Linked DNA regions of Alligator mississippiensis. The main gene of each other region encodes a partner of the protein of the gene in region 4 in a complex. Links are inferred from orthologs where the notes say so. Each region holds a gene or a part of one and is shown on either strand. Other genes may lie near its edges. The genes, in order: PPARA, MED20, MED25 and MED1.

Region 1 (7,728 bases), about 29 Mb from region 4:
CTCACTTAACGACCTACCTGTTTAACGACCGCTCGGACTTACGACCAGCTCTCCGAGCAGTCGGTATTGTGGAAACGGCGCGCCACAGGTTCAGCACGGCGGGGCAGACCATAAGCACTCAAAGTAAAAAATAAAGAGACTCTCCACCCCCTTTTCTGTTTTTCTTTGGCAAACCTCATATATTGGGCCAAACTTATTTTTGGATACTTGGGGTCAACATATAGCATATACCTGTGCTTATCTTTACAAGGGACTATTCAGGCATGCAATATTTTGACACCTGTCACTGTCAAGTCTCAGTATCATCCTGGCTGTCCTCTTGTATTGTAAAGCAATAAAAACCTCCTTGGTGAAAGCCAGGATATTCTATTAGTCAGGTATTATAAACCAAAATGCTTTTAGTAGCACAAAACAATTTCCTTCAACACTGACGGTCGCATGTAAATCATTCTAGGAGCTTGTCTACATTTTTGATAGTATAAATGCACACACAAACCCAACCCATGTGAAGACACCAATGTAATATGACTATGGACTACTAGTGACACCTCAAAAGGTAGGGATTTTATGTTACATGCACCTTATAATGCCAGGATTTTTTTTAAAACATACCTTCACAAAAGAGTAAATAATGGTTTAATTAAATCTACTCTTTTATACACCCAACCTAAAGGGGAAAATTCAGCCTTTAGAGGTGACTTACAAAACTGTTTTAAGATGAAACTTTAACATGTTCAAGCTCCCAAGCTCCATAGAAAGCTTCTGGAAATATTCTGCACGTAAGCTACATTTTTAATACAAAATATTTGAAACCCAATTCTTCTTACACAGCAGGATTCTCCATTTCCCCTTGCAACAGATATTTCTTTTTCAAAGAAAACAGACCCTTGAACTCAAGTCTCAGCATGTAAGGAAAAGAGAGAAACCAACTGAAAAGTGTATCTGCTACTTCGAAGACATTGGTTTCTTGTAGGATTGCCTGGCACCTCACAGCAACATTGAGTGTCTGTAACCCAGCTTTTTCTGGAGGGTTAATATGGTTTCCTCCTAGGCTGCCTACTACTCCACTGGAAAGTAACATTTTGCATTTATGACACCTATCTGCTCTATGATTCTTGGCACTGCTCAACTCACCCAGAAAAATATTAAAAAAACATAGACTATGAAAACAGAAGTGAATCACAACTACTCCATGCCCCACACATAATCGTTTGAAGGGCACTGTATCTTTCTGAGTGGTGAGTAGAGAAGAAGAGGACTTTTTTTTTTTTTTTGGATGTCAAATGTTCCCTGCCCTACATGGGGAGAGAGAGAGCAAGCATGCTGCCTATGCAGTGCTCTCAAACTCTGCTAACAAGAGAGCAAGGTCAGCTTCAGACTCTCATCCTCATAAAAACAGTGTACTGTGAGTGCTACTTAAGGTGTACAAAGTAACTATATAGCTGTAAAAGTCACTATCAGCTAATGACTATTTGGTAGATCATACAAAATAAGCAACTGATGAACTTGCTGTACAGTTCCTAGTGGGCAGTGATCGTATCACAGAAGCCACGATTGACACTGTTGTTGGCTGTTTCATAATGGGTGTCTGGTGCCTCTGGTACACCAGTCAGCGACCGCCAAAAGGCAAATGTGTGTTCTGTTTGCTACCAATCTAAACTAGGCCACTTACAGAAAACCATGCAGCTTAGATTGATTCTGCCTCAGGCATTTTGAATGTCTGTACCTAGCCTAGAGGGACAAGATTTTGTTACTAACAAGAATGATAAAAAGTCAGTACAGACACACGTTCTATAAGATGACACCTAGAACAGACAACTTTACACACTTTCACATAGACAGGGCTTCGAGAACATGGGGTGTCTTGGGAATGCCGCCATCCCTACTCCGGGTTAAATCTAACAAATCCCGTCTTTACGTCCTTCCAACTAAGAGCTTTCCAGCAAGCACCTCATGCTTGGGTAACTGGACCAATTGGGGTGAGCAGATAGTCACTTTGGAGTTGTTTTATCTCAGAGGCCTGAATGTTCCCTTGCACCAAACAAGTTGCTTTGGGTAGATGTGGCATCTTTTATTAGACTTGACTAGTTGGAAAAATTGTTCTTTGCAAGCTTTCAGGTACAAACCAACTATTTTTCCAACTATTTAGCTGGTTTCATAAAAAGACTTCACATTTCCCCAAAGCACCTTGTCTGCCCATGTCCTTAGACCAACCCAGCTACAACCAACACCCTCTACACCAAAGTGACTCCAACTTTAAAGGCTCCAGGCAACCCTGGACAGGCTCGCGGTGCCCGTGAACATGCCAGCTCTTAGTGCTCACTCTTTTTTTGACAAGAGAAAAACTTCAGAGTGCTTTTCCTGCTGACAAGAGCCCAGAAAGACCGCAGACATGAATTTCCATTAGAAACCTCAGGGTTTACCTTGTGGACCACAGTGGCCGACCTCAGCAGTAGCGTGAGCCTGTCGTAGCACCCACTTGAACAGCTCTCAAGGCGCCCCAAGGGTGCCAGGGCTTTCTCCCTGGTTGATGCTTACCACCTTAGGCTTATATGGCCTGCCCTGCGGGGGCAGCCGCCAACTCGTTCTTCTTGTCTGGCCACCAGCCGCCAGCCCTGTGGGGAACCTGGGGCTCCCCCGGCAGCCTCGGGTGCATCTCGTGTGGGGCAGGACGCCACTTCCCTGCCACTGCTGGGTCAGCTAAGTCGCAAGGCAGCCACCGTTGCAGGCTCTGGGACACTGATGCGCACACACACACTCACACACACACAGAGTGACAAGGACAAGGGGTGACAAGGCATCCACACCTCCGCCCCCACACGGATTAACCCCTTTGCGCCCACGACGGATCACCCCCGCCCCGCCACGCACCTGTGTCCCGAGAGGCGGCGAAGCCCGGGACCGCGACCCCCGCGAGGGGCGGAGAGCGGCGGCGGCGGGGGAGGAGGAGCGGGGGGGCTGGGTCCGGCCCTAGCGAGCCAGTCAGCAGAGCCAACACGCGTCTGGCTGGCGGCCGGGTGACAGGTCCAGGAAGTGAGGTCACGGCACACACCTCCCGCCGCCGCCGCCTCCTATTGGCTGCGCGGCGGAGGGATGGGAGGGGGGAGAGGCCCGCGGCTGGGGGCGGGTCAGCCCAAGGGGGGAGGCTCGCTGCGCGGCTGGGGTTTCCTCAGCGCCCAGCCCCGCGCATACGCGCGCCTTCGCCTCGCGCGGGGCCCCACCCACGCATCCCCGCGTCACATGGCCACGCACACAGACAGCCCCTTGAGCCGGGCGTGTGAGGGGAAACACGGACACGGGAGCAGACAGGCGCACGCAGACATGCACGCACACACACGCACAGACATACACACACACGCGCCGTCAGACACATGCGCACGCAGAGACGCCCGGACAGTCACGCATTCACAGACACGCACAGACGGGCGCTTACCGACACACACGCACGTGCCCCCGGCCCCCTCAGGAGAAAAAAAGACGCACAGGGACACACGCACGCAGACGTACACACAGAAACACCCGCACATACGCCCCCCCCACACACACACACACAGACGCGCGCGCGCGCCCCCGCCCACACAGACACGCCCCCCCCCCACACACAGACGCGCGCGCGCACGCAGGCTGGAACTCAGTCTGATGAGCTCCTTGCAAAAAGGGGAAATCTGTGTTTTCTCTGATAAAAATGGGAAATCCATGGTTTTCTCTTTTTTTTCCGTGGGAAACGGAAAACCAGGATCCCTGGTGATCACAGATGGCCTCCAGGCGATCTTGCCAGCCTTCAGTCTTCTGTAACAGCGATTCCATCAGGCCAGGGTGAATGGTCTGTAGATGGTCTCTCGAGTGCGCTGGGCCCTGATCTCCTTGCCTGTGTTTTCAATTAAAAGTAACCCGTTAGAAATACTGAGGTTTGGTTGTGGTCCATTGGTCCCAAAAGTTGTAATTCAGTGGTGCTCAGTTTTTCTCCCTGGCGGGCCAGATGGGCAACGCCTAAGTTCCTCTGCAGATCAGATCCAGCCTGTGGTCCTGATCTGTTGCCCAGGGCAGGTGCAGTGGCCATGTGAAGGGGGCTTGGAACAGCTTGGCCCCTTCCCTCCACAAGGCTCCATCAGAGCAGCTGCAGTGGTCATGTGGAGGGGCCCTGAAGCAGCCTGGCCCTGATCCAGCCTCCTGGAGGGAAAGAGACATAGCCCACCCCAACCTGATCACAGGAAAAAGGAGTCTGGCCTGGCCCCATCTGGCTGAGGGGGTAAGAGGTGTGGGAATTTGGCAGCATGGGAGGGTGGTTGTATTAAGGGCCACCAGTCCCCTGCTGCCAAATTTTCTAACCTGTGGGGAACCCTATGGGCCAGATGCCACCATGGTCCTACGGGCCACATTTGGCCCACAGGCCAGAGGTTGATCATCCCTGTTCTAATCAGAAGCCAGCTTAGAAAGTGGAGTTGGGTGGCTGATGTGGTTATGACAGCCTGTGCCACTGTGGCAATGTGTTGCAATGTCCTGTGCTAGTTGGAGTTTCCTAAAGTAGGCTGGCTTTGTGCCAGCTGCATCGCACAAAGCGAAAAAGATGTTTCTAACCAGGCCACATCACCAGTCACGGAGATGAGGAGGAGTCTCTAAACTGGTAGAAAGTATTTCACTCTAGGAAGTTAATGCACATACTGTCTGTTCTAAAAAGCTTATGGAAATATTAGAGATTTTATTTATTTATATGGGACAATTAGAGAAATAATTAAAATAGCAAAAAGAGAGAAAGAAACAGAACAGGAAAGTATATTCCAAAGGAACTTTAGGCTGATAAATTGCATCATATGCATGATTAAATTTCATGACCATGCTCATAATTACAGTTTACAATGATGCACAAAGAGCATCAAAATCATATTTTAAAATGCTTTTATTCAGATTATCACATTTTTCCTTTTTTTCTCCTATGCAAAAATATTGCACTTTATTGACTATTGCTTTTGTTTGCTGACTTCAGCGGACTTACAGGGGTGGCAAAGAGAAAAAATGGCCTGCTGTTTAAAATATTCCATGTATGTAGAATACTTGAATACTTGACCCCATTTTGCCTATATATATGTTAGCTTAATATTACCACTGTAAGTAGTATTTGATGGGATAATGGTGGCAGGTTTTGAGGCTTCACATTCAACAGCTAAATAAACAACAATACTGAGAGATGAAGAAAATCAGCAAAAAATACATAGGGCTGTGAATGGATAAAAAGTACAAACAACAATTAAAATAATGGAAGAAAGTGCTTGTTTGTATTAACAATTCAATAGTACAGTACTGACAGTAAAATGTAGCTACTGGGGAAAAACACTAGCATTTACAGTAATGCTGGTACTCTTCTATCCTAAATCATACTCTTCTATCCCAAAACATTTGACAGATTTTGGGCCACATTCTGGCCTCCAGTATAAACTTAGAGCAGCATTAGGGCAGTGTCAAAGTTATATAACATCAAAGGAAAAGCCAGTACGCAGTTGCCAGTAGCATCAGAAAGTCTACAAGAGAACTATCCATCTGATATCCCCTCAGGTCCTGTGTGGAGCACAGCTCAGCTGAACAGGAGGCAGATGTGCTTTTTATTCACTCCTGTTTACTTCTGAAGATGTTCCCACAAGATAGTTTATTCAACCCAAACTGATTAAACCTCTTCATAGATGAAACATTGCAATATACTTTGTTTCGGGAATTACCAGTAGTTATATATCTGAAATAAGTAGGAAGAGACTGTTTCTCCTCTTTTGACCTCCCAAGTCTGTTATGCTGAATGCAGATGCTCTAGTTTGGCATTCCCAGGCTAAACTTCTAGGGGAAAATTGTATGTCATTCTCTGAAAAGGGTTATATGCCTAGTCTGCATGAATACTCTCACCATTCGACTCTCCCCTCAATAGAATTTCAGTAGTGCTGCAGTGAGATTATTAGAAAAAAAATCAGTGGAAATTGTATCTTATAGGGCAGTGGTGCTCAACCTCCTGGCCCCAAAGGCCAGAGTGGGAATTTGATGGCAAGGGAGTGGTGGCAGTGCTACATTTTGCAGGTCTGGAAGCCATGGCAGTTAATACACTTGCAGTTCCTCCACCCCAACATTTCCAGATGGGGCATCCCGCAGGCCAGAGGTTGAACACCATTTCTTAGGCTACTGGCTGTGTAAGTTTCTTAGAAAAATCCATAACATTGTTTAGGCTTTTTCTCAGTGACAATTAGTTTCTAAGGTAGCTGACCATTCTATAGATGCAGTTTCCTTTGGAAAGCTGTGTTATCAAGGTATGGAAAAAGAGATCTCTGGGCCCTACTTTGGGAAGTGTTTCCTTCTTTTAAGTAAATTACTCATATGATGCCTGTAAACTATTATGATGAGTACCCCAGAACATGAATATAAAGAGAAACTTTATTTAAAATATTTATTTACACAAGACCAGATTATCTCTTTATGTATTTACAGAGATTTTGAAGTGCACATTATTGATTTGCTTGCATAGTCTATATTTGATGCCTTGACATCTACCAGCTAAATATTGCTCAGAGTTATAAGAAGTCTGAGCACATCAGATGTAATGAATTCTTCAAATATTTAATGATTTAAAAGAAACTTTAATTGAGCTAATCTGCATTTAATATTGCATTCTATTAATACAGAGTAACTCAGTATTAATGCAAATTGGCATACTGAAATTAATTATGAAACGTAATTACACTTGTGCAGTAACCAGGTTTCTAGTATTAATAACCCAGCTGATCTTGACACAGCCTTAACCACAGGATCACAAAGAGCAGCTCTGTAATACAATATTTCTGGTTGCAATCTTAAAATCAGCAGCATAGCAGATACTAACTTTTTTAATAGCATTATGGAAATATGCAGAATAAGGGCTCAATACTGAACTCTGCATCATGAATAGCACATACCCCCTGGTGGTGCCAGGAGAGCAGCAGTGGTGAGCGGGGAGCTCCCGCAGACACTGACGGCACTGTAGGTGATGCGGGGTGGTGAGCGCTGGCAGTGTTGGCAGTGACCAAATGTGATCATAGACCTCCCACAGACGCTGCTGGCAGTGCCAGCAGTGGGGTGGCAAGCAGCAACCGCCCATAGGCACCGCCGACAGTGTCAGCAGTACCTTTTTGCAGGGGCTGCACCACCATGCACAGGAGGTGCACGTGCACCCACATGCACCCCCTACATGTCGCCCTTGCTCTGCATAAGTTCATAACTAGGGAAAATGCAAGCTTCCTGGTCCAAATTTACAATGTGAATGAGTGCCTCCTTCAGTCTTAAAATAATGCAGGATTTGGGCTTGTAGATGCACAAAAGGTATACTGGGTGCTATGGTTACTTTTGGCAAATGTGTTAGAGATCTTATCATACAATTTTTAATATGTAGTATACCTCATTTTTGTTGTCTAGACTAGAAGACTCTTCTCACCTTTTATTTAAACTTGAACAAAGACTTTCATAATAGTTTATTTCACACACACCATTACATTTTGGCAGGAACCACAGAGTTCAAGGAGCATATGATAGAATCAGAGAAAATTAGGGCTGGAAGGGACCTCAGGAGGTCATCTAGTCTAATCCCCTGCTCAGAGCAGGACCATCCCCAACTAGGTTATCCCAGCCAGGGCTTTGTCTAGGCTGGGTCCTAAAAACTTCTGAAGATGGAGATTCCATAATCTCTCTTGGTAGCCTGTTCCTGTGCTTTACTACCCTCCT
Region 2 (7,892 bases), on a different chromosome or scaffold from region 4:
AGCTGTGCCATGGATAAGAAATGTTGTTTCCACGAGGCCAAAGACAGCAGGAAAATACTAAGTCCTCCACCCAGGTCTCTCCCACACCATTTCTAATGACACCGGGGAACAAGGAACACACAGAGAGCCCAGCCCTGCCTTTCTGCATGAGGTAGCTGTGTTGAAAGTCAGCCCAGCCCCTCCTGCACCTCAGTTTCCTTTTACCTTTGAACCAGGCACCTGGCTTGAACAAGGCCTTCTTCAAAGCCATGTAAAGGTGGAAGTTGAGGCGTTTGTATTCAGCAATGTCATCCCTCACGCGAGGGAGCAGCACCAGGTTATAGAACCGCTGGGCCATCCTCTCCTTCAAGTTAGATGAGAAAATCCTGGCAGGAACAAGGGTGTGGGAAATAACTGAATGCTCACTCTCCATTCCAGACACTTCAGTGCACCCAAGCAATCATCTGAGCTTCACCCATCTCCCATGACATGTATAATGGTTTGTCACCAGTTATTATCCATTGATGGAAGCTTCTGCTGTAAATGCACCAAATCAGCCAGCTTTTCAAAGGCAAAGTGATTGCATCTTACCTGGTTGCCTGATACATGGCAGCTGCTGTCCACGTTTCTGGCTCTGTAATGTACAGGATCTGCTCCCAGTTAGACAGAGCAGGGATAATCTTAAATGCCTTGGGGAGTTTGCCGCTCCTGTACTTGGACAGCACCTTAAAAAAGCGAGTGAATACTAGCGGTTAGGATAAGGAACTGCTACACACGCTTTCCACAGTCTGTTACTAATTGCATGTGTCACCCTGAGAAAGACCGAACAACTAAGAGTGAATGGTTGTTAAAGGGCTAGGGCACCTTGCCAACTCCAGACACAGTAGTCTGGAGGATGTAATATTTGAAAAGTACTTCCCACTCCTTCAGTGAGAGGTGCTAGGTGAACAGCTGTGGTTCTATTTGGGAAGAAAGAGCATGAGAGAACACTCAGAAAAGCCTGAAGACATGGCATCAATGCTGGTCTACACTAATTGTACCGAAACTCTCCTCCACTTACAAACTTTTCCAGGCTCCTCGTCATGAAAGAATTTTAGCATTAGCTCCAGAATCTGCTAACTTACCGCCAGCTCAGCAGTAAAAAGCCTCTCAACACAAAGCCCTAAATCAACATATTTGTCTAGAGCAGTTATGATGGAAGGGGAGCATCTGCAGAATTCACGGTCTTCTGAATTACTCTGAAGTGCTACACAGCACTGTAACAGCCGTCCCAGAAGGGGCTGTAGCAAGTAAACAGCCATGTCTGTAGCAAGTAAAGAGACTTTTTCATCACAAGCCACCACAACAGAGAATATCAGCCACAACAGCCGTTGGGTCTGGTTTATATTAGTTATACTGGTCTATGCTATATAACAACTCTTACTTCTCTGACACCCTTGTAAACCTCCAGCACCCGGGGGTCAAGCTGGGGCATGGGGAGGCCTGATATTTCTGACATAACCGTCTCCACCTCTGTCTGCTTCTCTGTGATCTTCTCCATGATGATATCAGCTAGGGTTCTCCTGGCAAACACAGAGAAAGAAAACAAGTTGGAATTAGCTCTGGAAATGGATGCAAGAAGCCAGCTCTTTGTCAAGGCAGATTAGGCTAGTGCAGTGGGGGACAACCATTTTGGCATGCATCGCACAGCTTAAACCCTGCACCATTCCAGGTGCCACTTCAATTCTCCTCTCCTGTCCAACCCGCTGCTCTGCTTTCTGCTCCCTCCCCAATCTGCTGCCTGCCACAAACAGAGGCTACACATCTCACAACAAGCTGACCACCCCTGCTCTAGTGCACTGAGCCCCAGACTAGGTTTCAGGAGACGCCAGTTCTAGTCTAAGATCTGCCACAGGGCTACTGTGGACCATGGACAAGTCAGTTCCTGAATCTGTACTTGTTTCCCCCTCTATGCTTTACATGTCTTAACTTTTCAGACTGCCAGATCTTGGGGCTGGGACTGCCTACTGCCCAATAACAACTGGGCCCTGATCTCAGGTACTGCACACAGTATTTAGGAACAGGGAGTTTGTGCCACACATGCATCAGTTCTCGAAAATGGAGTACTATCTGCTGCTTGGCACCCAGAAAGGGGCCATCAGGACTCCTGGGCTCTGTTCCTAGCCCTCCCTCAGACTTCCTTTATGAGCTTGAACAAGACAATTCTCCATGCCTCAGTTTCCCCAACGACAGGTGGGGAACAGCACTTTAGGCAGCCACCCCCATCCATGCGCTTCCATGAAATGTTAACCCTATTCCAGTGCCGCATGGTGGCAGAAGATACTGCCCGCTGCTCAGAAGTGCCACACTGCAGCTCAGAGGCTCATCTTCTACCTTAGCGGTGGATTCGTGTTCATGAACATCTCGATGGCTCTCTCATCCTCAGGGTTCACTGTCACCTCTTCACAATACTCCTCCTTCTCCATGGATGTGGCTTTCTCCAGTGTGGGCCACTCGTCATCGTCCTCTGCATCGGAATCCCCATCGCGAGATGCAGATCCTAAACCAAACAAGGCACGGTTAGGCTTGGACAAATTGGAAAACTAAGCACCTCTGTGCTGTACCAGTTAGCTCTCCATACCATAGTCTCTCATCACCTCTTCTATAGTGATGAGTAGTTTGAGAGGTCAATGTGAAGAAGTCCAATAGCCCAAGCGGATGGGCACCAGAGACTGCCAGGCCTTGGCTGAAGACACAGTGAGGACTGCCACCCACATTTGATTAAACAGAGCACATCTGAACCGCAACATCATTATTGAGAGAGACCCTGCCAATCTGAAGTTCTAATGATTTGAGTTATAAGCAGCTCCCAGTCCTACCTCTGCACCCGCGTTCCCCCTGCTTTTCTTGTAGCTTTGCAATAGCACTGCCCTATTTTTAAACACTTTTTTTACCCCCCAAACCTTGTTTGAGGATGGATGCCCACAGACACAGGGAAAGCTGCCTCAGGGGCTGAGCTTACAGGTCCATGCATTCACACACACCTTTGACATCACACATGAGAGCAGTCCCATCAACTTTAATATACAAGATATAATATTTCTCTTTGGTCTTTCAGTTAGCTTAGATGTTCCAGGTAACAGCAAATAAAAGGTTTTCAGATTTCCCATGTCCGAGGATTACTTTAGGTTGACAGGTGCTGCTCTGAGCAGGGGCCTGGATTAGATGACCTCCTGAGGTCCCTTTCAACTTTAATGTTCTATGATTCTATACTTTTTAATGGCCACATATACATGAAGCAAGTTCCCAAGGTAGAATCTAAATAATTTCTTTCCAGTGCTCTTTGTCAGTATTTGCAGTGAACGTGGTTTGTCCCACAGCTACAGCATCCTGGCCTAGCAACGGCCCTAGTCCAAAACATCACTAGTATGACAGAAAGACATCCATTCAGCTCAATCTGCTAGGTTTGACCGCACAGCAATACCATCTACAGTGACAAAAACAGGCTGACGTGCTAGCTAAGCAGTAGCATGTATGCAGGCTGCTACAGAGCTTGGCTAGAAGGGAGTCTGACGTAGGGAACGATCTCTATTGTAGCAGGAGTACTGAGGGGTGTCCGGTCCATGTCTGACCTTCCCTACTCCCTGTTTATGTTATTAAAATGGAACATAAAACCACAGCTCACCCCTTTTGTCTTTAAGGAGCATACTTGATCAATCAATCCCAGTGGGAATTCATCCCATCCCTGCCCTAGGTCAGCTGCTGTTTATCAATAGACAGGAACAACCTACGGTGATTTAGGGCAGGGAGAATTTCACGTTCAAGGACCCAGGGAATAAAGCCAGGGACTGGACATCAAGAAGCAGGGATTCAGTCCTGACTTTCTTGCAGGACTTCTCTACTTCTGCAGTGTGCTGCTCGGAAGACAAGACCCACAGGGGGCTGAGACCTGCGTTTGTGGGAAGACTAAAATGTCTTTCCTGCCAGAGCAGAGCGGGCTGGACCCGATGATCCCACGAGGTCCCTTCCAGCCCTAAACGTCTCTGGAAGGTGATCAGACACTATAGGGAGAGAGCATGGATCAAAAGGGATGAGAAGGCAGGTGTGGGACAGCGCGGGGTGGTGTAGGGTTTGCCCTCCTCTCCCCTGGAAGGCAGAACCGTGCCCCTGCCAGCGCCACGACCTGCCCTCGGGGCTCAGGGTGGGGGGGATCGAAGGGGATCGGGTTGACATCTCTTCTCAGCTACTCCCCCGCCCCGCTCACCCAACACCGTGGTCTTCCTCGGCGGCTCGGCTCCCCGGCCCGGGCAGTGCTCGGCCTCCAGCTCCTCCTGCTGGATCCGCGCCTGCTCCAGGATCTTTCGCGACAGCTTCTCATCCACATACTCGTCCTCCGCCTCCGCGGCCGCGCCGCGCTTCTTCGTCCTCCGGCTGGGCCGCACCGCCTGGCCCTGCAGGATCTGCTCGGCCAGAGGCAGGCTCCGCACCGCCTCCCCCGGCCCCGCGCTCCCCTTGGCCCGCTTGGCCTTCGGCATGGCGATCCGCGCACACGTGGGCGGAGGGGAGCAACGCGGCGCGCAGGCGCGGATGGAACGTTGCGACTCTCAACGTTCCGACCATTGCGACAGGCGTGTCCGAACGTTCGCTCTTAAAGGCGCCGCCGCCCAATTTTTACTTTCTTTTCTTTTTTCATTCTTTTTTTTTTTTTTTTTTTACAAGGGGCAGACGGGGCTGATGTGTGTAGGCCAGAGCTGGGACGGGTGTGAGCTACTGAACCGCGTGTGAAGGGCAGCTGCTCGTCTGTCCGCTGCCCACGTGCCCCCGGATCAGCGGCGGAGGAACCCGCGCTTGCCCGCATCAGCAGCGGGTTGCCCCTGTCTCCTGCCCCCCCTCCATCCCCTCCCAGCGTCGTAGCTCGGCCTCCCCACCCACTTCTGGCCGCCTGACATCATTTCCTACTCGGCTTCCCACCCCTTCCAGCGGGAGAGGACGGGGCTGGGCTAGAAACTCCGCTTCCTGCTCGGGAGAGGCGGTCCCCGCGCCTGCAAAGAGGATCCCGAGTAGGCAGGGGCTGGCCGGGAGCGCTGGGCCCAGCATGGGGGTCACCTGGTAGGGCCCCGGATGTGTGCGGGCTGGGGGGAGGCTTGCAGGGAGCAAAGGGGCGAGGGCAGGTGAGATCCCCCCATGGGGGGAGGGGTGCAGGCTGAGCTGCCCCTCAATGCACAGGGGTCTGAAGATCCAGGCCCCACTCAGCACCCGCCTGCGGTACCACCACCGGGAGCAGGCGGTGAGGAGTGGGATGAGGCCCCTGGTGAGCAAGGGGCTGGGAGGTAGACAGGGTTGAGAGGAACTGACAAGAGATCAGGCTGGATCAAGCCAGGTCAGCGTCGCAGCTGCAAATACAGGGCTGTGATGGCACCAGGCGTCAGGGGCACGGAGGTGCCGCTGTATCAGAACAGAGACGCAGGGTCCCCTTGGCAAAAAGGCAAAATGGCCTTGGGGACAAAGTCGTGCTCTGGGTGTCTGCTGTTGTCACCGGAACAGGGCAGACGCCGGGTGCGAAGCAGTCCTGCCTGGCCGAGGCTTCTTCCTTGCGATGCTCGTCCTATGTTTATAGGGGCGGCAGGAATGGCATCGGGCTGTCGCTGTGGCACTTTGTGCAGGGCAAATAACCATTGTCTGTAGGGCTTTCTGGGTTGTGGAGAACAGCAGGGTTGACATGGAGTGGACTGAAAATGCCAGACGTGGGGCTTTTGGGTGTGCCTGCCTGCTCTTGGAAGCGAGGGTTTCTTCTGTGGACCTGTCTCTAACCTGAGACAGGACGTCTTTGTAAAAGACCCGCTATCTAGCTCAGGGCTTTGTACTCACGGAGCAGTCCATCCTCCATTTCTCTCGCAAGCTAGCAGTGCAGGTTTATCATCAAACGTTTCACTGGAAGCATGAGAAAAGTATGTGGGACCTAGCAGTGTGTGTGGCCCACCGGCAGACCCCATGCCAAGGCCTCACAGCCCCTAGTTTGGGAACTGCTGCTGTCGTTCAGCAAGGTAGAAGTTACCGGGTAAGGTTCTGTGACCTGTGTTGCATAAAAAGCCAGATTACATGATCACAGCGGTCCTTTTACAGCCTTTAGAGGTGTTTGTTACATTTGCTAGTCGTGTTTAGTACTGTAATGCTTCAGGCACAAACATGAACAAGGCACTGAGTAGCATCGTCCTTGCCCTGAGAAGCCGAGAGCAGCAGTTCTCATTCTTTTTAGACTCAAGGCATCCCTGGATAAATTAGAGGTGCCCGTTAGAAAGTGCCGCCTCTTAGTTTTCATTTCTTGAACATGGGAAAATAATAGAGCAGTTTTTCCAATGTAAAGCACTCAGAAAGCCCTCAGCCATGGAAGTCTGTTTGAAATCTTTGGGTTTGTATAACCAACTGTGCTAACATTATGTGGAAGGATCTCAGGGTACCCCAGGGTACCCTGGCACCCTGGTTGAGAATCACTAGTGTGAGCGGATAAGATAGATGAAAGTAATGCTGACAGTACCGTCCAAATGCTTTACAAAGCAAATGGTCATCACGTGTCGGCTTTTAATCTCTGTTCTAGATGCAAAACGCTGTTGTCTGGCTGTATTGCATTCTGCCTTGGTTAAGGTGTCTCGGTATCTATGGTTATTGACTCTTTTCTGTAACTCCTCTTCGATAGTGTATCTCAGATGCCAGTGGCAGAGGGGAAGAGTGTCCAACAGACGGTTGAAATCCTGACAAGGAAACTGGAGCTGCTCGGAGCAGAGAAACAAGGAACGTTTTGTGTCGACTGTGAGACCTACCACACAGCTGCCTCCACCATGGGCAACCAAGGTCAGCCTGTCGTTTCGCTATCTGAGTGAAATGCTTTGCAGAGAACCTTATATTGGCTGCAGTAGCTGGTAGCTCTGGTTGGGTTGAACTCTGCTCTCGTAATGAGTTAAATTATTGTCCTCTTATTGTTCTAGCTGGGAGTGCTAAAGCCAGCTCTGAGGCCTCTTCTTTCTCCTGTTTATACCTTTCTTCTCTCCAGTCGTCTCCCCAGCATGGTGCTACTGAACTGGATTGAACTAGCGGTAGGAAGGAAGAGCTGGTCAGACAAGCCCGGTCTATGCTGTATAATCTTGCTAGCGGGATTCAGTTCTACCTCCTGTAAGCATGCCCCCACTCAAAGCTGCTATGTGGAATCAAAATCTTTTTCTTTTGCCGGCAGAGTGAATTCATCTCTTGGGCAGACAGAAGGCTGCTATTTAACAGCTAACAAAGGCTTATATGGACAGGTCTGTACCACCTTCTGGCTGCTGTGGTCCCATTAGCATAGGGCTGAGCAAAATTGTGGATCCAGCTGGTGGCTGGACTCCATTACCCAGCAGCAGTGGCATCCTGACAGCGCGGGGCCAGGGTTTCCATGGAGACTGGCCCCAGCAGCGCTGGCAGAGCACATGGCTGGGCAGGGAGCTATTCCGGGGCTGGGATCTTTCAGCAGTGACAGCGTGGTCCAGAGCCAGGGCAGAGCCGCGATCTGCTGCCTGCACGCCCCTGCCCAGGGCATAAGGGCAGCAGGTCATAGTTTTGTCCCAGCCCTGGACCACGCTGTCGCTGGCTCAAGATCCTGGCCCCGGAGCAGCTCCCTACCCAGCCCCGCTCTCTGCCAGCGCTGCTGGGGCCAGTTTCCGTGGAAACCCTGGCCCCATGCTGTCACAGTCCTGCCCTGCCGGGGTCTCCATGGAAACTGGCTGCAGTGATGCAGGCAGGGGCTGCTGGGAAATGAAGTCTGCCGCAGGCTTGATCCACCAGACTTTGCCTGCCCCAGCTTTAGCAGCTATGTCCCCACAATGTGGGCCATTCTGATAGGGCTGATGGCATGGAGCTCTGCTTTCACTCTTGTGGCTGTTGACTCCTGGTAAAACTTTTGCCCT
Region 3 (7,005 bases), on a different chromosome or scaffold from region 4:
GGAGAGCTGCTGCTGCCCCAGGGAGGGGGAGGAAGCGGGGGTCCCCACAGGTGCTGGCCAGGCTCCATGGTATTTGCCGTTCTAGGTGTTTTAGCGTCACGTAGTTCCTGCGGATCAGAGCGTGTGTATCTATCTCCATGTGACTAATAAATGGGGCACCTGCCAGGGCCCCTAATACCACCTGCCCCCCTCCCCTGAGCTTCATTCTGTGCTGTGGGACCCGGCAAGGGAGGGCTAGGGGCATCAGGTCACAGGTACAGTCGCCACCATGGCACTGGGATACACCTGCTTCTGGGGTGGAGCATGTCACAGCAGGGTGTGGAGCAAACTCTGGATCCTGCAGGGTGGGGAGCACTATGCCCCTCTCTCTGCTGCACGGGTGGTCAGGTGGAAATGACACAGGAAACACAGATCGGGGTATTCCCTGAGGTTTAATTACAGGCAGGTGTGTCTCAGCCCTGGTCCAGGGCCCTGAAAAACCCAGGTGTCTAAGCTGCCAGCCTCAATCCCCTCTCTTGCCAGGCTGTGGGGATTGAGGCAACTAAGCAGCCAGTGTTCATTCCCCCTGCCTTAGAGGAGACTCAGGACCCCAGTAGTCAGCATCAGTGCTCTCTTGACATGTAGGGATCTGGTCACGTGGAGTCTGTCTCTTATTGCCAAGCTGTAGGACCTAGGCATTTGGGCGGGTGGCATCAGTCCCTTGGCCAAGCCATGGGACCCAGGTGTCCAGGCAGGTGGTATCAAAAGGCAGCATCCCCCACCAGGTACTGCAGAATATGGGTAGCCAGCGGGCGCAGGGCAAAGGTGGGAACCTCGGGCGCCAGTAGCAGGAAAAGCTGATGCGGGGGCGCCTGGGCAGCGTAGGCCTTGTACCCAGCACTGACCACATAGCAGTGCTGGGCACTATGTGAACCCCCACCTAGGGGCAGCTCCAGTGGGGGCACTGCAGGAACAGAGGGAAGGGGGGTGCTTAGGAGGTACCTGCCCAGTAGTGCCCAGCAGAACTAGAATCGGTGCTAGGGTCCCTGGTTGGAGAGGCTTGGGGGCCAGCTCCTGCACTCACCTGGGCTCCCCTCACAGGGAAAGTAATGTGAGACTACCAGGGCATAGAAGGCCCTCAAGACAGAAGCACAACTCCCCAGGGGCAGTGCAGGGCCTGTGAGGAAAAGGCAGGGAGGAGGAGGTGGGTGAGGGCAGAGTGGTAGGCACTGCCCTGGCACTGCTGCAGCACATTTTGGGGGCATCAGGAAGTCAGGGTTTGTGGGGGCAGGACCTACCCTCTGCCTGAACCCCTCTGGGCAGCACTGCACTCAGACTCCGCTTCTGCTCGCGGTTGATCAGCAGGAAACTGAGGGAGGAGATGTAGTGAGATGGGGTGGGGGGCAGCTAGCCAGGGGTGCTGATGCCCCTGCCCAATGTCCCATTCGCCCTCCCCTGACTTACGCCAGGACTCCAGGGTGCAGTGGGACACTGGGGGGACATGCACATGCCCGCAGAGGCTCCAGCAGGGGCTTCCAGAACCGTGGCACTAGCTGAAACGCAGAGATAGGCAGGCTAATGGTGCCAGTGTTCTTTCTCCCCCCCCCCCTCAGCGCCTTAGCTGGGGCTTCTGTGCAGGCTTTGTGGGGGGGTACCATGCTGTCCCCCCTGGCACCCACCTCAGTCTTCACAGCCTCCAGCGAGGGGCTGGGCCCACACAGGAGGCAGATGTCCAAGCCGGGCAGCAGCTGGAAGGTAAGGAGACGGTGGGGGACCTAGGGGGGGAGGGGGAGGCATAGGCATGGTTATGTCTACTCCCTACTTTCCACCCCTTGCAGCCTTGAGCCCCTCCCCATGGGCTCTCACCATGGGGCTGCCCTGGGGCAGGTAGACAGGGTAGTCCCGGGTAGTGCTGGGAAGTAGTGAGCCCACGAGCCAGGCCAGCAGATTCACCTCCTGGGGGGCCAGCTGCCACCAGGGTTCAGTGGCCACTGCCACACGGCCGCCCACCAGCAGGCAGCCAAAGCGGCTCTCTGCTGCCCGTGTGAAAGCAGTCAGGCATTCCTGGAAGAGGGGGGTTAGGAGGAGGAGGGGTCAAGGCAGGGCAGCTCCTTCCTTGTCCTGGTCCCAGTAGTAGTTGCCCCTCCCCTGGATCCTCACTTGCTCCAGCATCCCAGCCTTCTGCTCATTCCTGTTTGTCCCTACTCCCGTGCCTGTGGGCCAGGGCACCAAGGTCCCTCCAGGGGATAAAAGTAGGGCGTGGGCCACCGTGGAGCTCTCACCTGCAGGATGGTGCTACAGGGCACAAGCACACACTCCACACAGTGCGTCAGGTCCCCAATGCGCTCCCCAGGCATCAGGAAGCTGTCAATGAGCTTGTAGCAGGCCTGGTTGTAGGTGGGGGGAAGGGTGGAGTAGGGCTCAGCCCCACACCAGCTCAGGGCAGGGGCATATGGCCCTGTTGCCCCACCCCACGTCCAGGGCAGTTGGGGCATCCTGCTCTGCCCTTCCATCACTTACCCTCAGGTCCTTTTTAAGGCGCTCCACATTGCGGATATTCGCCAACTCCTCCAGGCCCAGCACCAGCACCTGGAACCAGGCCCCAAGCCCATCAGCCTGACACACTGAGGGGCTGGGGCGCAGGGCTGAACCAGGGCAGCTGTGTGAGGATACAGCTCTGCGTGTGTACATATACATATGCGCACACATGCCTAGGGTCCTCTAAGGGAAGATGGGGAATGTGGGTACACTTCCTGGCCCCCCCCCCTCCCCCTCAGCCCTCTAGGGACCCTTTGTGTAGAGGGGTCATATGACAGCACCCCCCTCTGGAAGGATAGGGATGGGGGCTGGATGTTAGAGCAGGAAGGTGGGGTATGGGGGAAGGAGGGTTGCTCCATGGACTTTGCTGGGGGAAGGAAAGGGATAGGGGCATAGAATGGGGGCGGGGAGGCTTACCATGGCACTGAACACATTGTCCAGGAGTCGGCTGAGGGTGAAGTCACTAGCACCTTCCTCTGATGACATCACAATGAGGGTGATGCTGGAAAAGCCAAGGGGGGGGGTAATGGCCCTGTCCAGCACCATAGCCCTTCAGGGCCAGCCCCAAATGGACCCCCTGCCCTACCTGGAGCCCTGCTCCCCTCCCTCAGGCTAAACACCTGCCCCCTTCCTGCCAGACTCGCTCCCCCCTCCAGCTCGACCTGTGGTCCCCTCCCTCTCCCCCAGGCCAGGCCCCACCTGTTATGAAAGGCCCTCCACAGCACGCGGGTGCCCTCCGTGCGGGCGGCTGTCAGCGCCACGTCCAGGTTAGAGCCAAACATGTGGACGCCGTTCAGGGAGCCGATCACGGAGAAGGGGAGCTGGGGGCGGGGGCGGGAAGTCAGTGGGGTCCCGGGGGTGGTGGTGGTGAAGGGATCCAGGACTAAGCTCTCTGCCCAGAGCCAAGGGGGAACCCAGGCGTCCGCCCCCCTCAGCTGTGGAGGGGGGGGGGTGGCCGGATGGGACTAGGGCACCTGGGTTCTCTCCCAGCCCTGGGAGGGGAGTGGGGGCTGGGAGCCGGGTCACCTGGGTTCTCTCCAGGAGGGGCGGGGCGCGCTGAAGCCAGGGCGCCTGGCTTCTGCCCAAGCCGCGGACGGGGCTGGGGCCAGGACTCGCGGGTCCCAGCCGAGGGGGGGGGAGGGAGTGCTGAACCGCGCGGGACCCGATGCAGCCCGAGGCAGGCATGACTGATCGGGGGGTGGACGCCTGCGTTCTCTCGGGGCCGGCCCGACCTGGTGCCGTGTGGGGGCGCCGCGGTAGAAGAGCGGGACGCCGCTGGTGGCTGCCAGGCAGAGCAGAGAGACGGGGCTGCCGCCAGGCTCCGCCATCACCACCCTTTCAGCCTTCTGCAGCCATTTTGCCCGCGCGGGGCACACTGGGGAAGCCGCGCAATTACTATGGAGACCGGGGGCGGGGCCTAGACCCCCTACACCCGCACGCGGAAGCGAAGAGGAGTACTTCCGGTGGGCGCCGGAAGCGGGTCTCTACGGGGGTAGGCGGGGCCTGCGTGTCCATGGTAAGTCCGCGGGACAGGGGTGCGCCGTAGTGACCCACCGCCCGCCCGCGGGGCGATGGTGGTGCCGGGCCCGGAGGCGGCGGCCTTGGGCGGGCCTGGCGGGATGGTGGCCGACGTGGTATTCGTCATCGAAGGCACGGCCAACCTGGGGCCCTACTTCGAGTCGCTGCGCAAGCACTACCTGCTGCCCGCCATCGAGTGAGTGTCGTGTGTCCGTCTCCCTCCCCCCCCGCCTTGAACTCCGGCTCCGGGCTCTAATGCCAAGCTGGCACTTGTCCTGATGCCCCCCCGCCCTGAACCTAGGCATCCAGGCTCCAGCCCTGCAGTGTCTGGCTCTGTCTGCTCCTCCACCACCCAGCTGGGAGGCCCTAGCCTGCCCTAATTCCCACCCCCCCAGTGAACCAAGGCGTCTAGGCTTTAATGCCAGTCTGTGACTCCTGCAGCCTGCCCCGTGCCTCCCGTAGTGACCCTGGGCATTTGGGCTTTAATCCTTTAACACCTGGCTATGGACCCCCAGCTGCCCCAGTGTCCACCCCCACCAGCTGTGGGACTTCCAGGGGTGCCCCCCCCCCAGTCTACACTGGCAGGGTGAGCCCAAGGATCCAGGCTTTACCCCTTTAATGCTTGGCTGTGCCCACCCAGCCTGCCAGAATGACCATGCCCCTGCCCCCCCAGTGCTCAGACTCACCATTGCTCCCAATTGGGTAAACAGTATCCCATCTTAACCCTTCAATGCCTGGTTATGCCCCCCATCCCTGACACCCATCTATGGGCACCACCCCAAAAACTCCCAGCTGTAAGACCTCCCCCCTCTTTGCCCCATAGCTTGCCCAGATGCCCGGATACCATGCCTGTCCTGCCTTATTTAATGCCCAGTGATGTGTCGGCCCCCGCCCCCCCACCTGGCTCCAGCCCCAATCGGATTAACACATCTAACAACTTCTCTATGCCCCTTCATCTCTGTCCTGGCATGTGGCTACTTCTCCCCGCCAGTCTTCCATCTCTGCTCCCCCACCCTGATGCCTACTTATGGATCCCCCCAGCCTTCACTTGATATCCAGGTCTCACCTCCCTGACCCTGATGCCTAGATATGTACCCCTGGTCCCCAGCACCTGGCTACAGCCTCCTCTCTCTCCTCTTAGTGCCTAGCTGTGTCCCCTCATCACTTTCCCAGCTCCAGTCGTTCCCCCCCCCCCCGATGCCAAGGTATGGGACCCCCTAGCCTACTCCCAGTGCCCAGGCCTTCACCTCCCTGTCACCTGGATGTGTTATCCCCAATGGTTCCCAACACTCAGCTACAGCCCCCTGCCCCCTCCAGTGCTTAGGTGTGACCCCTCTTCTCTACTACAGCTCCCAGCTACAGTTCCTCCCCTCCACGATGCCCAGCTATGGGACCCTCCCTCCAATTTATCCTTGATACCCAGCACGCCCCCCTAAATGTCTGGCCCCAAGTGCCCCACCCTGCTGTCCCTGTTCTCATCCATGACAGCCAGGCACTGTTGATACCAGCTGGGCACCTCCATCAGTGGAAGCAGCTGGTCTGTCTCCCCAGCACAGCTCCATCCAAGCAGAATGAGGCCTGCTCGCTACTTGAATGGGAAGCCTCCAGATACGGTGGGAGGGGGAGAGAGCAGCTCTGTCCCCTTCACTGTTCCACCTGTTCTGTGTCTGTCAATTGGATCATAGCTGCCTTTTCTTACCTCTCCTGAGCCACCCCAGCCCCCAGCAGTCCCACCCCCTTCCTGGCACCCTCCCACCTGTGCCCTAACAACCCCCCTCCCCCCACAGGAACAGCCCGGTTCAGTTGCCCCACATATTCCTGCCCTGCTCCATCTCTCCTCCAGCCCCGCTGCCCCCTTCCCTATTTCAGCTCTGATAGCTTTTTCCTCTTGTCACAGGTATTTTAATGGTGGTCCACCAGCTGAGACAGACTTTGGGGGAGATGTGAGTAGGCAGCACAACATTGCCTGGAGAAGGGGGAATTTTATGGCCCAACAGTGTCATTCTGGGGGCAACTGTCGGGCAATCCCATGCGTGTGTCCTGCCCCACCTCCCGGCCCGCCTCTGGCAAACTGTCATGAAGGGTGGGATGAGCACCCTGGATCCCTCCATGTCCTGGGTGTGTGCATGGTATCACTTGTGGGTGCAGGAGTGGCCCTCCTGGTGTCCCAGCACCCCCTGCCAAGGGAGGGCATTTGGGGGGTACCTGGCATCTCCAGGCAGTGGGGTTGGAAAGCTGGTCAGGGATGTACCACAAGCTGGTCTTTCACAAGGGAGGTCAGGGTAGGATGTTCAATTTGCTGGTCATGCCTTAGGCAGGGACGTACCACTTATGGGCAGTTCCCAGGGGGATGGGGTGGAGTGTACCACTAGGGGGGCAGGGGTGGTTCATACCACATGTGTGTCATTCCTGGTGCAGGTGCCCTTTGAAATCTTCATGTTCTCCTGTTCACAGCAGGTTGTGAGCATGCAGGGTGCCCCTACTCACTTTGGGGGTTCCTTGGATAGTACTGTGGGGGGCACGTTATACCCTGCTCCCCTGAGGGTAAGGATACGGGTGGGACAGGATGAACTGTGGGGTGCTCCTCAAACTCTACCCCACCCCCATCTTTCCATAGAGGTGGAAGGGGCTTGAGGGGCCATGGAGATGCCCCTTCGTGGGACACTGGTCTCCAGTGGGTTGGTGGGCCAGGATGTGGTGCAGTAGCCCAGTCATACCTCACATGCTGGCAACTGATTCCTCTTGTCCCTGAATGCCTGGGTCCTCTACAGAGCCTGAGGTGTAGTTGGAACCTTGGGCTAATGTGGGACAACCAGGGTGGGGCCCAAGCAGGGAGGAGGTGAGGAAGGCGGGGCCCATCTCCTGTTACTGGTGTCCCTGGCTGTCTAGGGGCAGGGCAAGCCCCAGGCCCTCTCCTACCCCAAGAGCACCTGTGCAGAGGGCCAGGCTTGGCAGCAGCAGGAAGAACAT
Region 4 (7,294 bases):
CTAACAAAGTATGAATCATAAAAAGACTATGTAATATCACCAATCTCTCGAAAACTCTCACCATGACTTGACGGACAAGCTTCACAGTTTCAGTCCAAGGTCTGTTCTGGTTAAACTTTGCATGAAGTCTTTCCAAGAGAGAACTCATCTTGTTCAGCTTCTCTGCTTCTATGGGACAAATTACAGAAGACATCTCATTCAGGACCTGCTGCAATTTAATGTTAATTCAAACAACACAAAACTTTTACAGACACAAACCCCCCCTTCATCTAAAAGATCCGCCATTCCATCTCAATGTTAGGGTAAACCACAACTTTGAAAAATCTTTTTACTGATTATACACACACACTTTTAAGACCTGCTGAAGGCTCATGGGAAAGACCTGAAGTAGCAACAGATCTTTGAAGAGGAGTGGTTAAATCTCCTGGTTTTCATAGCACTGAACATGCATATGCAGTTTGTTTTTCAACTCTGAGTTCTGCTGAGAACTTTATAAGGCAAAAATACTTCCACAGACTCCTCCTTACTCCCAAAACCCTAATCACACTCTATGTTTCGAACTTTTTCATTTGTGGACTGACCACCTGAAAAGAAGCTGTGGACCCAAATCTGAGAGCCATTATACTCACATTTTTGCTCTAAATTGTTTTTAAGAATACCTTCGTAACACGCAGTGAAGGGTGAATCACCAGCCTATAAAGACTCCAGCTGGAACCCACTTAAAATGAAGGACCTGACTGAGGCAGTGACAGCTGGAATGCAACACAGGCCAACAACTACCAATGCTGCAGAGAGCTGGGACTTCTATGACTTAAAGGAGTTCTGATCTTACTCATACTAGAGACCCATGGGTTGGCATCTTCTGTGGGTGGGTGCCTGCAGGATACAGAGGTGTCCTTGAATCTGGATAGCAATCTGCATACTGCAACACAATGAAACAACTAGCAACTTCAGTTTCACTTCCCAGCAAACAGGGTTTCATGGTATTCCATCAACTTTAAAACTTAAGAAACAAGTTTTATGCATCTCAATTTCTCTGTTATTTGGTGGGGGGTTACAGCGCTTTTTTACTGTGTGTTAAAAGTGCTTTGGTCTTCAGTACTGCAATGGAAAAGAAGCTTATAAACTACAGAGAAACTGATGATGCAGTGGAAACACTGTCATTGACTATACAAAGGGTATTATCAAATGCATGAAGTAAACAAGCTGAAACAACAGAGAAAATAGTTTTCCTTACTCTCTAGTTATGAGTATCTTCTGTGATATTTGTAAAAATTGGGGATAACACTTGTCTAAAAATAGTTTTAAGTGGTGTCCCTTTCACTAGATATGGAGCAGGCTTCTCTAAAGCTAGACCCTGGAGTTTAAGCAAAGTCATCCCCGTTTGTTTTGGCAACTTCAACTGAGGTGTCCAGTTCAAGGTAAACCTAGGATTAAAACTTTAATGGCACAAGTTCCTATTTGTGTAAATATGTTAGGGGCATTTCAAAACTCAGTTTGGGAATTGTATTATGCCATAAACTTAATATTGAATGCATCTGCAGGTCCACATGCAGAAAACAGTTCTTTAAAATGGCTGGTACAAATTTCCAGATAATGGATGACATCCTGGGTCCACTGGGATGCAGTAGAAGTTCTGCATTTGACATCAACAGAAGCAGAATTTCAGCCAGAGTATAGTCTTTTATTTCCTTCAGAAACTGAGGAAGTCAACTATCCCTGCTTAGCAGCTGGCACCAGATGTCACCAAAAAAAAGAAAAGTAACCTGTCTGTCAGACTAGCTATTAATTTTAGTTCTTCTTTTTAATTTACATTGAAAGCATGATGATTATTAGTTTTGCAGAAGAGGTGGATTTAGACATGCCTTATATTTGTGTGTTTAATATGTTCGTGGATTGTTTCTGATACACATTAAAAAAATTTTTTTTGAACCAATTAACACAGCAGAACTGAAACCCTCAGAATGAATCCATGCCCATTTGATGTATACAGGGGCAAATTATATATAGGGAAGAACTCTAAGCTCTAGAAACCATTTCCCTTACTGCACAGAACAGGTTCCCAAACTCTGCCCTACTAAAAGCTGTGCTGACATCATGATAGCAACTAAATGGATCTGCTCAACTTGCCTAAGTTGGGGCAAATGGCAGCTGTCATCACCTTTCACAGAGGTGCAGCCAATAAGGCTGCAAGTCACACAACATGAAGGTCCATCTCAACCCAAGGCAGCTGTTCTGGCTTACACACCACACGGTCACCTGCACCAACACAGTTTTGGGCACCTTCATATTCTGTAAACCACGAGGCTGCTCAGCTCCAGGTGAAACATCCCGTCCTTGGCACATACACTCCTCTCCCATCCGGGTGCAGCAGCACATGCCAGAAGCCCCTTAGCTACCAGCAAGCGCTCCCTACCAAGGGGTTTGGACTAGCACGGGCAGCAGTGCCCGATTCTGGCTGCAGGTAAAAGAGCACAACCCTGTCTTCCGGTCGCCTCCTGGGCAGCTCAGCCGTGGCTTCATACAGGGCACCAACCCGTGCGCTACGGGTCCCTGACATGCTCCTGAGGACAGATGGATGCTGCCCTGAAACCTACTGGGAGGGGGGAAATGGTCCTTCATCCCCCTGGGGACTTGAGGGTAGGGACTGCTGGCTTTCCAGGGAAAAGGATGTGTGGGCTGCCGCCTGCCCTGGAGATGAGCATCTCCCTGTCCCCGCCCCGGCAGCGCCCCCTCCCCCGCCCCCGCGGGCAGCCTCGTTCTGAGCGAGGGGCTGGGGGCGCAGCCTCGCTCTGGCCCCAGGCACTCACCCTCAGCGCCCCCCTGAGCCGCCTTCATCCTGCAGGCGGGCGCAGGACGGCGATGGGGAAGGGAGGAGGGGCGGGCCCCGGGGCAGGCCGCAGGTGCCTACTCGCGTCGAGCGGCTCCCCGCGGCCAGGCCCCCCCCCCGCACGGGAGAAGCCTCAGTCCGCGGCCGCTGCCGCCATCCCAACGGCCATAGCTAATCTCCAAACTGCGCGACACTTCCGCATTCTCGCGAGAGCCTGGAAATCTCGCAAGAGAGCAGCGAGCGGAGCATGCTTGCGCCGACATCTCGCGGGATCTGGAGCACCAGCTCGGCTTCTGTACAACTTCCCTTCCCCACTCTAGGCATTTGGGCTTTTGCGCTCGGCTGCGGGGCCGAAGCCTCTACTTGATAGTAGCTGCCCCTGAGACTTCTTTGCAGTTCGAAAGAGCTACGGAGATGTAACAGTAATTACACGGGGAGGAGAACTAAATATTTCAAATACCGAGTCGGGCAGGAGCGATGGTGGAGCCGCGATGGGCCAGAAGCCAGGCTAGAGGCACAGATTTCTTAGGGCGATACCTTTAATTGGACCAGTTGGGTGGATAGGATGGAGTTAGGCAATACTTTCTTCTTCAGAGAGTGCATCTAACTCCACTCCGCCTGTACAGCTGGTCCAATAAAAGGTATCTCCATAAGAAATCCTTGCTTTGTACAGCAATGTTCCCACTGTGTTACTTTTTTTTTTTTTTGGACTATTTGTAAATCTCAGCTGTTCCAGGAAGGTGGCTAGCAGACTTTTCACTTATCTCACTGTGCTGAGATGGCAGGCAGTAGACTTACTGTACTGCTTCTTCTCACTCATTGACTCCTCAATCTATATTTTCACTGACTACCTGTCTTGTATGCATACCAGCCCAGCCCCTGGCTTTTTTACTTTTCATTCCATCCAGGAAGAGCACACAGCAACTGCTGAAACTTCCTTAGCCTGACGAAGGGTTTTTGAACCCGAAAGCTTGCCTAATTATTATTTTCCAACTATTTGGGTTGGTCTAATAAAAGATATCAGATTCACCCAAGGAACCTTGTCTGCCTATGTTCTTAGACCAACACGGCTACAACCTACATCCCTGTACTGCTTCTGAGCACTCCTTTTAAGTCTGAGATCAGATAAATGCTGCTTTAGCATACATGCCAATGTTGCTACGGTCCCAGCCTCCTTCTGCACAGGGCCACATCATCTGACCTGTGAGGCTCCACACTGGCAGTAGTGTTAAACACTACAGCTCTAGGAACACTTAGCTTTGCTATCACTTCCTTATCACCAAATTTCTGTGCCTGTGGGGAGTCCCACAGGCCAGGTGACATGGCTGTGGGCCAGGTGTGACCTTTGGACCAGAGGTTGAACACCACTGATGTAATACAAAAGGAACATACCCAGCACATAACTGGAAGCTGACAGCGGTTGATAAAACAGTACCATAAACACTGTGCTTTAAGTCTAAACATACATCCAATGAGCCCTTAACTTGGTCTAGGTACTATCAAACAAAGTGTTAAAGATATTACTTTAATCTTAAAATCAAGTGTAATGGGGCAAACCATAACAGCTTTCTAAATGCATTAAATACTTTTACCTCCCATCTCTTTAGAAGGACTTTTTCCCCTTCTCCCATACCTCCACTTTATTCATTCAAGTTCAGTACAGAGTACAATACTATTAACATACTTTGCATTTCTTTTTCACCAGAGAAAAACGTTTTTTACAAACAGTAAATTGCACAACACCCAAAGATAGAAGCACTGCAAAGGGGGGTGGGGAGGAGGGGAGGAAGAGAGAGAGAGAAGGGGGGGGGGGAACCAAGATTAGCAGCATTCCACTTAGAGCTCTTCTTTCTGCTTTCTTTTAGCACGTAATTTCAGTTTTCCCACTATCAAGATCCAAATTTACATTTCTAGCTCATCACTATGGACAGAAAAATTGATATTGTCAATTCCCTTCCACAAAACCTGAAAAAAACCATCAGGTTCACCTTTGTAGAATGACAAAATACTAATGTCAGAGACAAACCCAGCCTTTCTTTGAAAAGGGCCAGCCCACCTTATGGCTTCCTCTTAACACACCACAGCTGAAGATGTTCTGTTCTTTGACCACCAGATGAGGTGACCTGTTTGAGTGGGGTAGGAGTTCTTCCTGTTTCCTGAGTAAGACATTTCATCTCCTTCAGTGGCCAAGTATACAAGGTATCTACATCTTTATGAGGTAGTGAATACAAATTAATTGTTTTAAATTCCACTGAGACTATATGATAAAATTGTAGTCATGTGCTACTTTGTTAAAAAGAAATTGCTACCTAGGATTTACAATAACTACTGCTTTATACAATAGTTACTTTGAAATTAATAGAAACTGGAGATTAACCTCTTCCTCCTTTCCAGAGGTTATTAGAGTCTGTTACTTTAACTAAAACAAGCTATTCATCTGCAGGCTGGTGCCCAGTTCTAGTTCCAGTCGAGAACAGTGTTCCATTAACCAGATAATTAGACAGACAAGGAGACCAAAGAATAATAGGATCCAGTATTTGCTGAGGAAAGTGGTGGATTCATCTGAACTTCAAGTCTTGAAAGCAAGCTTGGATGTCTTTCTACAATAGCAAAATAAATCCAAAGATATTGGGAATTATGTGGGAATTTGAGAGTGTAATTTGATGGCCTGTCTTTCATCTTAAAAATCGTGGAGATGTGGAAGGACCATCGCTACTGAGTTAACTGCAGCCTCAGGAAGAGAAGGGAGGAGCATCTGTAAATCCACAAAATAGTTGTACTTTTGTCACCCTTTAACTTAAAAACAAAACTGATGAGATTTCATATGCTGAGTGTCAGCCTAAAGAGAATTTGTATGGCCTAGTGAATATAGACAACAGGGTTTGTAATGGAACACAGACCCACCATTATTATAGCGAGAGAGCTCAAAATGTCGATGTGACAAAATGGAAGCTGTAAATACACACATGCAAATAGAACAGACACCAATTAAAACCTGCAATTTTAGAGCTTTCTGGAACTTGCCTTCAAGTGATGTGACCCTCATAAAAATAAATCTACATTCTATAGTGACAGTTTCAAACCTAAATGGATATGCTGTTTGAGTCATTCCTGTATCATGCTGTTGTTATATTGAAAGCCTCAATACTTCAAGGAACAAGCATGGAAGTTTTAAAATAGGAATATTCACAGTTTTTCCATGTAGAAAAAGCTTGGGGGGAGGGTATTTATTCTCAGAGGGAGGAAAAAGCAATTTTTGTTGCTCTTTTCCTTTTCATATTTGCTTTGGAGTGTTTAAGGCTGGCATATAATGACATTATATTATACCACCCACTATACACCAGATCCTTTTACTTTCTGTTCTATTGTTGGGTAACATGTCACAAGGAGCCAATGATAATTTACCTGAGGAATGGCTAAGGGACATTTCCAGAAGTCTCCACTGATGTGATCTGCTTCACTTTTTGGCTAGCCTCAGGACCCATTTTTCAAAAAGCACCAAGGAACTGCAGTCCCTGTTTCCAAAAACTGCTGGACATGATTGTCCAAGTAGTAGTAACAACAACAATAAAAATAAATACTTGATTTTTCTCTGGAGGGTTAGGGCTATAGAATGAGGGTTCTGGATCATATGATTCTGTTTCCAGCTGTGAGGAAAGCTAGGGGTGATAGAACTCTGGGGGTCAGGGCGCTGGTGTCCTCTTTTCGGTTCTTAGAGACAAGTGGATGCAGCAAGGAAGAGCTATTAAAATCAGGAGTCTTGGTTTCTGGTTCCAGCTCTGAGCAGGGAATAGGATTTAAAGTATAAAGGTGGGGACTGGAAGCCAGAACTCTTGGATTTTATTTCCAACTCCAGAAAGGGGCAAGAAGTTAAGCTGGGACCAGGGAGCAGTGATCCCAATCCCCCTGTATAAGTAGACAGCTAGGTTTTGTACTTAGTGTGTGTTTAATGCAGCCTTTTATGGCTACTATTTGCAAGGCCCTTTGGCTTTCTTGGGGAGTTATGTGAATAGGTGTATGCATACACATGTCTACATGTATATATGTACCTACATATATGTGTATATGTATATATGTACACACATGAACATAAATGAACACAACCACCTGTGTTATGTTCATCTCCCTAAGCATGTACTTTGTGCATGTGGGGGGAGGGGGGGTATTTGTCTTCAGGAACGTGTCAGTAAAGTTTTGTTGAAGGGGGGGGCACCTGTGGTGCTTTGTCCGCTCACTTTCCTCCCAATAAAGTTTTGTTGGAAAGGCAACGCTGACAAGCGCGGGGGTTGGTCTGTTGGTTCGTCCCCCTCCCCCCCATGTGCCGCGTTACGACGGGGCTCAATAAAGTTTTGTTGAAGGGCCTCGCGGCGTGCTCTCGCGAGGTTTCCGTCGGGGCCTGAAGGAGGAGGGAGAAGCGTCGGGGAAATCTCGCGAGGTTTGGCCGGCGGAGAAGGGCTTCCCTCC

The links.
Region 1: the proteins of MED1 (region 4) and PPARA are in contact, whole or in part, in a crystal structure (PDB 9IWM), measured with the Homo sapiens proteins. The link is inferred for Alligator mississippiensis from reciprocal best matches to the Homo sapiens genes MED1 and PPARA. Residues at the interface, in NP_004765.2 of Homo sapiens: Asn638, Thr639, Asn641, His642, Pro643, Met644, Leu645, Met646, Leu648, Leu649, Lys650; in NP_001001928.1 of Homo sapiens: Val284, Thr285, Thr288, Glu289, Lys292, Phe297, Leu302, Asn303, Gln305, Val306, Thr307, Leu309, Lys310, Pro458, Leu459, Glu462, Ile463.
Region 2: MED1 (region 4) and MED20 share a complex: the UniProt entries of both Homo sapiens proteins name them as parts of the mediator complex. The link is inferred for Alligator mississippiensis from reciprocal best matches to the Homo sapiens genes MED1 and MED20.
Region 3: MED1 (region 4) and MED25 share a complex: the UniProt entries of both Homo sapiens proteins name them as parts of the mediator complex. The link is inferred for Alligator mississippiensis from reciprocal best matches to the Homo sapiens genes MED1 and MED25.

What each region holds. Positions count from the first base shown.
Region 1 is NC_081827.1:136,205,243-136,212,970, reverse strand, and holds the start of PPARA (peroxisome proliferator-activated receptor alpha), read right to left. Parts: upstream 3,018-7,728; 5' UTR 2,872-3,017; intron 2,745-2,871; exon of another isoform or gene 2,424-2,744; intron 1-2,423. UniProt on the Homo sapiens protein: Ligand-activated transcription factor. Key regulator of lipid metabolism. Activated by the endogenous ligand 1-palmitoyl-2-oleoyl-sn-glycerol-3-phosphocholine (16:0/18:1-GPC). Activated by oleylethanolamide, a naturally occurring lipid that regulates satiety.
Region 2 is NC_081837.1:38,996,221-39,004,112, reverse strand, and holds the start of MED20 (mediator of RNA polymerase II transcription subunit 20), read left to right. Parts: upstream 1-4,875; 5' UTR 4,876-5,053; coding exon 5,054-5,067; intron 5,068-6,652; coding exon 6,653-6,807; intron 6,808-7,892. Other genes in the region: BYSL (bystin), read right to left, coding at 205-365, 571-704, 1,403-1,541, 2,353-2,518, 4,223-4,493. UniProt on the Homo sapiens protein: Component of the Mediator complex, a coactivator involved in the regulated transcription of nearly all RNA polymerase II-dependent genes.
Region 3 is NC_081828.1:39,929,157-39,936,161, reverse strand, and holds the start of MED25 (mediator of RNA polymerase II transcription subunit 25), read left to right. Parts: upstream 1-3,991; 5' UTR 3,992-4,088; coding exon 4,089-4,231; intron 4,232-5,932; coding exon 5,933-5,978; intron 5,979-7,005. Other genes in the region: FUZ (protein fuzzy homolog), read right to left, coding at 741-943, 1,064-1,156, 1,278-1,348, 1,444-1,532, 1,659-1,754, 1,846-2,043, 2,262-2,366, 2,500-2,568 and 3 more. UniProt on the Homo sapiens protein: Component of the Mediator complex, a coactivator involved in the regulated transcription of nearly all RNA polymerase II-dependent genes.
Region 4 is NC_081827.1:165,686,535-165,693,828, reverse strand, and holds the start of MED1 (mediator of RNA polymerase II transcription subunit 1), read right to left. Parts: upstream 3,008-7,294; 5' UTR 2,839-3,007; coding exon 2,811-2,838; intron 169-2,810; coding exon 62-168; intron 1-61. UniProt on the Homo sapiens protein: Component of the Mediator complex, a coactivator involved in the regulated transcription of nearly all RNA polymerase II-dependent genes.